2 linked regions of the Cricetulus griseus genome follow. The protein of the gene in region 2 interacts with the protein of the main gene of each other region in a biochemical or structural test. Links are inferred from orthologs where the notes say so. Each region holds a gene or a part of one and is shown on either strand. Other genes may lie near its edges.

What was found.
Region 1: the proteins of Tln1 (region 2) and Itgb3 form a complex in vitro, tested with the Homo sapiens proteins (6 studies listed by BioGRID and IntAct, with this or other methods). The link is inferred for Cricetulus griseus from reciprocal best matches to the Homo sapiens genes TLN1 and ITGB3.

Annotation. Positions count from the first base shown.
Region 1 is NC_048600.1:117,689,624-117,692,801, reverse strand, and holds the end of Itgb3 (integrin beta-3), read right to left. Parts: intron 3,023-3,178; coding exon 2,856-3,022; intron 1,047-2,855; coding exon 981-1,046; 3' UTR 791-980; downstream 1-790. UniProt on the Homo sapiens protein: Integrin alpha-V/beta-3 (ITGAV:ITGB3) is a receptor for cytotactin, fibronectin, laminin, matrix metalloproteinase-2, osteopontin, osteomodulin, prothrombin, thrombospondin, vitronectin and von Willebrand factor.
Region 2 is NC_048595.1:99,973,653-99,977,468, reverse strand, and holds part of Tln1 (talin-1), read right to left. Parts: intron 3,722-3,816; coding exon 3,605-3,721; intron 3,504-3,604; coding exon 3,390-3,503; intron 3,203-3,389; coding exon 3,068-3,202; intron 2,919-3,067; coding exon 2,790-2,918; intron 2,631-2,789; coding exon 2,528-2,630; intron 2,417-2,527; coding exon 2,208-2,416; intron 1,858-2,207; coding exon 1,738-1,857; intron 1,557-1,737; coding exon 1,359-1,556; intron 1,190-1,358; coding exon 1,050-1,189; intron 881-1,049; coding exon 787-880; intron 706-786; coding exon 616-705; intron 506-615; coding exon 383-505; intron 1-382. UniProt on the Homo sapiens protein: High molecular weight cytoskeletal protein concentrated at regions of cell-matrix and cell-cell contacts. Involved in connections of major cytoskeletal structures to the plasma membrane.

The sequences.
Region 1 (3,178 bases), on a different chromosome or scaffold from region 2:
CAATGAGAATGTGGAGGTTGGAGGTAAGAGATAGTGTTGACGTAACAATGACACTTCTACACAAATCTCTAGGGAAGAATGAACATCCTTCATGAATGAACATCCCCCAGGCCATGCACGACCCCTGAGGGGTCCTGCCATCATCATGCTCAACAGGCCAAAAAGCCAGGTGGCACGGACTTCCCTTATGAGAGAACCATAGCAGAACTGAGGAGATGGCAAAAGATGCAGGCAACTCTTGAGGACTCAATTCTCCCCTAGCTCCACCTTCTGCCTGAGGGAAGGGAGGTGGGCAGAGGCACAAATGATACAACTGGCCTTCAAAGGCAAGCAGTTCCTACTGTAGCTGTTGACAGGACCAAGAACCAGATCATACAAACTCAGTATAGAGCCAAGGCCTGGTATCGCTTCCTCTGGAACCAAAACATCTCAGCCCCACCCTTCTCTCTAGGAGAATGACCTAACAAGGCAAGCTGGCTTCTCAGAGGTAACAGAGAGTGCCCGCTCAGCATCATGAGTTCCCCTCAAGCTAAGCACGAAGAATCCCTTCAGGAGGGATTCTGAGGACAAAGGCTGTGGAGCTCTGCCTATGGGGACAACTCAAAAGTTTTAAGCTACACATTACCCCACACTCAACACACACACACACACACACATATATACATATATATGTGTATATATTTATACACACATATATATACACACACACACACATATATATATATATATATATATATATATATATAGAGAGAGAGAGAGAGAGAGAGAGAGAGAGATAAACTCCCATTAACACATACGCACACACACATATATATACACATACACAGAGATACACTCCCACATACTTTTTTCAGCTGGTCCCAATCCAAGCCCCAGATTCTACCCACAAATACTGTCCCCTGTAAACATGATGTCACAGACTCCCACAATCTGACAAATCTGGCCTAAGCTGACAAAGTTCTAAGGATGACTTCTTCTCATTAAGTGCCCCGGTAGGTGATATTGGTGAAGGTGGAGGTGGCCTCTTTAAACAGTGGGTTGTTTGCCTGCAAAAAGAGCAGAAGAGAGTCACAGTCAGCTCCTTGCACTTCCTTACCCTCAGCAGTTGAATTTCATCTGAGAATTTTGCCCAAGACATCCTTCTCTAGAGTCAACTGTCAAAAGCAGCCGTGTGCACATATACGCTTTTGCTCTGAGGATGGGACTAGACAGTTAGTTAGGAGAGGAGAGGATGGTGTGTTGCTAGTCAGCCGCCATTTCTAAGGGCTTCTAATTCAGCCCATAACTTTTGGTGGTGAATACCCATTAGTTCTTGGCTGTCCCAAAATAGTGTACCATTTTACCCAGTCTCTCCTATTTCCTCTTCTCTCTCTACTCTTCCTTTCCCTTCATCACGGCAGTGCCAGGAGATGTGAGCCAGAAAGGAAAAGGGGAGTAGGTGGGGTCAGAACACAGAGCTTTACTGAAATAATTCTTGCTTTATCTCATCTCTTGAGTCAATTGCTACCCACAAACCTGTTGTGTGCTCAGGAAGACAGAAGACCTTTACTGAGTTTCCAAAATTATTTCCCAACAAAACTGATGAATCCCCCGCTCAATGGCAGTACGAGATATTTACAAAATTCTTTGGTCCCTTGGTGGCTCAGAATGTTCTACATAGTCCCAACAGAAACATCTCTGCTTCTTGGGTCCAGTGAATACAAAATCTAGGGTCACCAGGAACAAAGTTTCAGCCTAACCCTGGATACTCTATAGAGTCAAATGGTCACTTGGTAGGTTCAGGAAAAATAAAATGAACAAAAAGAGAATAGAATTAAATATACAGGTGGTTCTCAAAAAAAAAAAAAACTGCTCGTTTGATAGGCTGGTGAGCTGGCACAGTAGGGGTGGGGGGAGAACTTGCTGCTGAGTTCCATCCTCAGAACCCACAAGAAAGAAGAGGACTGACTCCTGCAACTTGTCCCCTGACCTCTGCACAAATGCCATGGCATGCATTGGTTTGCACACACACAAACACTCTTTTCTTAATGCTCATTTGGTTGGATTAAATCAGGATAAACTGCATCCTGGGTCCCCCAGAGAAGCCTGGTTTGGAAGCTACTACTTTGCATTTGCAGAAAAGGAGAGAATGAAGTAAACAGATGTACTGTGGCTACATCAAAAGGTCGACCCCGAACGGAATTCCTACAGTCACCCAATTCCTTTCTGGGTCAGGCAAGCTACTTTAATTCTCAGCTTCAGCCTCCTTAACAGAGAGAAAGCAAAGTAAGGTGTCAAAAGCACCTTACAGTTTTTGGTGTGAAGTCCTCAGTAAATGTTCACTCTTCTGTCACTTTCTGTTCATGTTTAAACTTCAGACTTGCTCACCACTATACAGTGTGTTACAGATCTGCCCTGTCTCAATCAACTGGAGAGTAAATGTCTCCTTTCATCACAGAGTCCTATGTGTGCACAGACAGGGATCACGACTTTCAGTCACTGTAAGGTAAAGGACTGGGTGTTTTTCATGAACTATAAAGACAAAAGAGGATAGTCAAACCATCTGCCAAACAGGATAACTAGGGAACAACTGTCGGGGCTGACTCCGACCACAGCGAACATCTGGTGCCTGGACCTCAGGTTCTGGTTTGGGGGAGGCTTTGTTTGTATTTTGTTTTGATTTGTTTGGGATTTTGGTTTTTTGAGATAGGGTTTCTCTGTGTGACACCCCTGGCTGGCCTGGAATTCATTCTGTAGACCAGGCCAGCCTCGAACTCACTGAGATCTGCCTGCCTCTGCCTCCAGACCACTGCCCGGCAACCTCTGGCTCTTGAACCAAAGATTTAAGAAAACACAAGCACAGCACAGCCTCTTACTGTGTCCCATTTTGCTCTGGCTCGTTCTTCCTCAAATTTAGCAAATTCCTTCCGGTCATGGATGGTGATGAGTAGCTTCCAGATGAGCAGAGTAGCAAGACCGATGAGCAGAATGGCTCCCATCACTGACATCAGGACCATCAGGATGTCAGGACCCTTGGGACACTCTGGGAGACAGAGGGAGAAAGCAGGAGTCACCAGACATGTCTAGGAATGAGGTCTTAACACGTAAACAAAGGACTGGAACTAAGATAGTCAAAACAGTAATTTCACCCTTTTTTTGAAGGGGGGCAGTCTTTAAAACAGCCATAATCTGTCCTAAG
Region 2 (3,816 bases):
AAACTCAGAGATCCACCTGCCTCTGCCTAATGCTAGAATTACAGGTGAGCACTACCACATCTGGCCCTCCCTTCCCTGTAACTACTTTAATAAGAGTGCTTCACCTAGATTAGAGTGTAGCTTGCCTAACATGCCACGAGACTCTAGTTCAATCTCCAGCACCATTAAAAAACAACAAAGCCTGACAGCTGGTCAATGTGACCAAAACCAAGAGTTACAGCACCTTGAGCTGCTGCAGCTCAACAGTTCTGATGACCATCTCCCTTCCCTACAGAAGGGGGGCACCCAGATTTTGCACTAGCTTCTTGATTTATATCCTTGCAAAGGGAGAAAGGACATAGAAAGCAAGAGCTGCTCTAGGAGTCCATCTGAGGGAAATAACCTGTGCAGCGGCCTCGGTGAAGCCACAGAGGGCCTTGGAGGCTGTGGCGATGGCATCTCCAAACTCCGGCAGATTTCCATTCTTGGCATTTTGGGAGATGCCAGTCATGGCCTCACCTAGGACCTAAGGAAGAGAGGGTGTCAGGAGGGTCGGATCACATCCTGAGCATCAAGGTATCAGTGTTAAGTCCATCTTCCTGTCCTTGCCTCTCTAGAGCTCCCCGGCCCACTAACCTTTGAGTTCTCCATGACACTGTCCAAACAACCGAAGTAAGACATGTCATTGATGGGTTGGACTGGATTCTCCAGGAGTTCTCGGACTGTCTGTGTAGGGGAGTGACATGAAATTTGAGACATTCCCTCAGCCCTAGCTCCTTAGTTCCAGCTACTATGCTAAAGGCTCACCTCTAGTTCCCGAAGGGCATTGTCACACTCCTTCTGTCCAGGTGCTTGCTGGGTGCACATGGTGATAAGCTGGTTGATGCTGTCTGTCACCGCCCTGTTTGGGGGAGGGGTGTGGAACTCAGTGAGTAGGTGATCTTCCCTGTGTCCTGTGTGCATGGGACTGTATATATTTTCTTTTGCTAACCCTGGGGATGTCTTAGGAAATGTCTTCTCTCTGGCCTTCTCACAGGTTCCCAGAGCTGGGCTTTCCAGTTCCTGCTTACCTAGCAGCTGCAGCCAGTTGACTCTTTAGGTTGGGAGCAGCAGGGTCTGTGGATAAGGCCTTAGCAGCCAGAAGAAGTTTGCTTGAAGACATGGATATGCCCTTCAAGTTGGAGACCACCTGGGCTCGGTCCTCCTGGCTCTGTTACAGGTGAGAGCATACATTATCCTGTCATATCTGTTTCTAAAAGGATCTTTCCCAAATACTCACATTCTGATAGACCCTGGGGAGGAGGCAACCAGCAGACCCAGACCCCAAACAGCCATGTGTCCCCTACTGTGCCCTCATAACACCCTTTGCCCCATCGTACCGGGGCCTGTCCAGCCATCTCCACTCCAGCTTCCAGGAAGGTGCTGAAGTCCTGTCCAAATCGACCTGAGGCCCGAGCCAGGTCCTGAGGGGTTCCTCTGGAGGCCTGTACCAGTTCTGTGGCTGCCTGATTTAATCCAGCAGCAGCTTCATTCAGTCGGCTCTGAGCTTCTTGAAATGTCCCAGTGCTGGGAGGAAGCTGTGGGGTCAGAGGGAAAGTCAGGAAGATGGATGGGAGGTGAGACAGAGTTTGGGAAAGGAAGGCCAGTAAGATGGGCACGGGACCTAGGAATAATGAAAAGGGCAGCTCTGGGAAGGCAGGGTCAAAGGAGAAGCCCAGAGACAGAAAGCTCTCCTCTCCTAGCCATGCCTGTTCCTACCGAGTCACTCAGGAGTCGCTTGCTGGCATCTCCAACTGCTCGTAGGGCATTGTCCACATCTCTTTGGCCAGGCAGGCAGCTGACACAGCGGTTCAGGGCCTGGGTCACAGCTTTCGCCACCTGAAGTGGAAAAGAAACAGGGTTGCCAAAGAAGGAATAATCTGGGAGAGCCCTCCTTCCACACTGGGACATAGGAGATAACAAGCTGTCCTGCCACTAAAACTGGAAGAAGCTGAGGTCAGGGTCATAACAAACAATAATCACCAAACATCCCCAAACCCGCTGCTCTGCAAGGTTTGTGCCTAAGCCTAACAGATACTTCTAAGACAAGAGAGAAGGTGGAATTCAGAGAGGCACTCTTATGAGCAGATCTGAGGACACACGAAGCTGAAGAGTGTGTGTCTTATTAGGGTGAACCTTTTGAAGAGATCTAAGGGAGGGGTGGGCAGGAGCCCCTCCTAATAACTGACCTGAGCAAGCCTTTGCTGGCTCTCTGGGTCCCCTGGATGGCCAGCTGCTTTTTTTGCCTCATCAATGAGGCTGCTGGCCTTGTCCAGAACATCACTGGCTGTGTCAAGCACAATGGCCTGCACCGCAGGATCTGATGTCAGGGCAGCTACACCCCGAGCAGCCTGGGCAAGTGACCGTAGTCCACCTGCCACATCCCGAGCTGCAATACCTGGGGACACACAGAGGAGATAGGTTTGCTCCATTAGCTTCTCTCCCCAACAAGGCCCCCCTTCTCCATTTCCCTATCATATGTCCCATTCCTAGCCTTGTGCCTACATACCTGCATAGTTCTCATTGCCTTGGGCAACCTCCCCCAGCAGCTTAGCAATGGCAGAGCTCACTGCTTTCGTGCTGTTGCCAAGATCCTGGGCACACTTCTCCATCTGCAGATAAGAGGGTGAAGGCTTAGGAGGAGGAGGAAGTGAGAGGGTATCTGAGAAGGTTCTTGGGGACAGCTGGAAGATTAAATGAAGGTTCTAGGGCATAGCTGAGCAGACTTTCATGGTTTGGCTGAGGGCATGTTAATAAGACCGACTACTCACTGTTTCCCCAGGTAAGGGTTTAAGCTTGCCATCTCGAGCTGCTGCTTTTACTTCCTGCAGGTCTTTCTCTAGATTCTGTACGACGCTCAGTGCAGAATCCATCTCCAAAGGTCCACATGCCTCCTGAGCCTGTGATGGCGAGCAGCAGGGGGTATGGCTACATTCCTGGGCCTCAGACTACAGTCATCCCTCTTAGAGGTTATAGTGTACAAATTCTCCCCCATCCCAGGAGTCCACATACAGAGCCTCATCTTCCACAGCTAGAACAGCTCCCATACCTTCTGGGCAGCAGTACGGAGCTCTGCCAGTGCAGTGCCTAGGTTCTTTGCACATTGACTCAGCTGCATTGCTGAAGCCTGGTCCTGAATTGTTGGCACTGAGGCTTTTGCAGCTGCCACCATCTTCCCACCTGGCTGTTGGAGAAGATATGCAAATGAGGTATACAATACCCTCTCTCTAGCCTTCCAACGGACACTGGTAGGGTGCAGTAAGTAAGCACTCAGGTTTGGTCTCAGCTACTAGCAGATACTCAGATTGTGGGGGATCTAAGGTCTTGGAAAGGTGGGGAGGATCTGGTCTTAGAAGTGGAGAGTGTCTTGCCTGCAGGAAGCTCTGGCTGGCAGCAATGAGGGCGAGCTGGGCACTGGGGCTGTCAGGTTGAGCTTGGCTTCCTCGGACGCCCTGTACCAGCAATGGAATCTGCTCTGCCACAGCCTGTAGGTCAAAGTGCCATGAATCTCATGCTCTTGAAGTCAGGGAAAGTACTACCTTTGTTCTGACCCCTCCCTACTCCCACATGCCTCTTGGAGACTTACCTTACAGCTCTGCACCAGCAGGGGCTGGGGGCCAGCAGAGGCCTTGGGGGCAGAGGCTGCATGCTGGGCTGCAGCGATGGTCTGCGTAGCAGAGGCTGCAGCTTGTTTGGCTGCATGCTAGAAGGACAGAGTGATCAGAAGACCAGGCATTCCCAGGCCCTGGCCTACACGGCACTCTCCCCACCTACCCCCACTCATTCCTCTCACTGCAT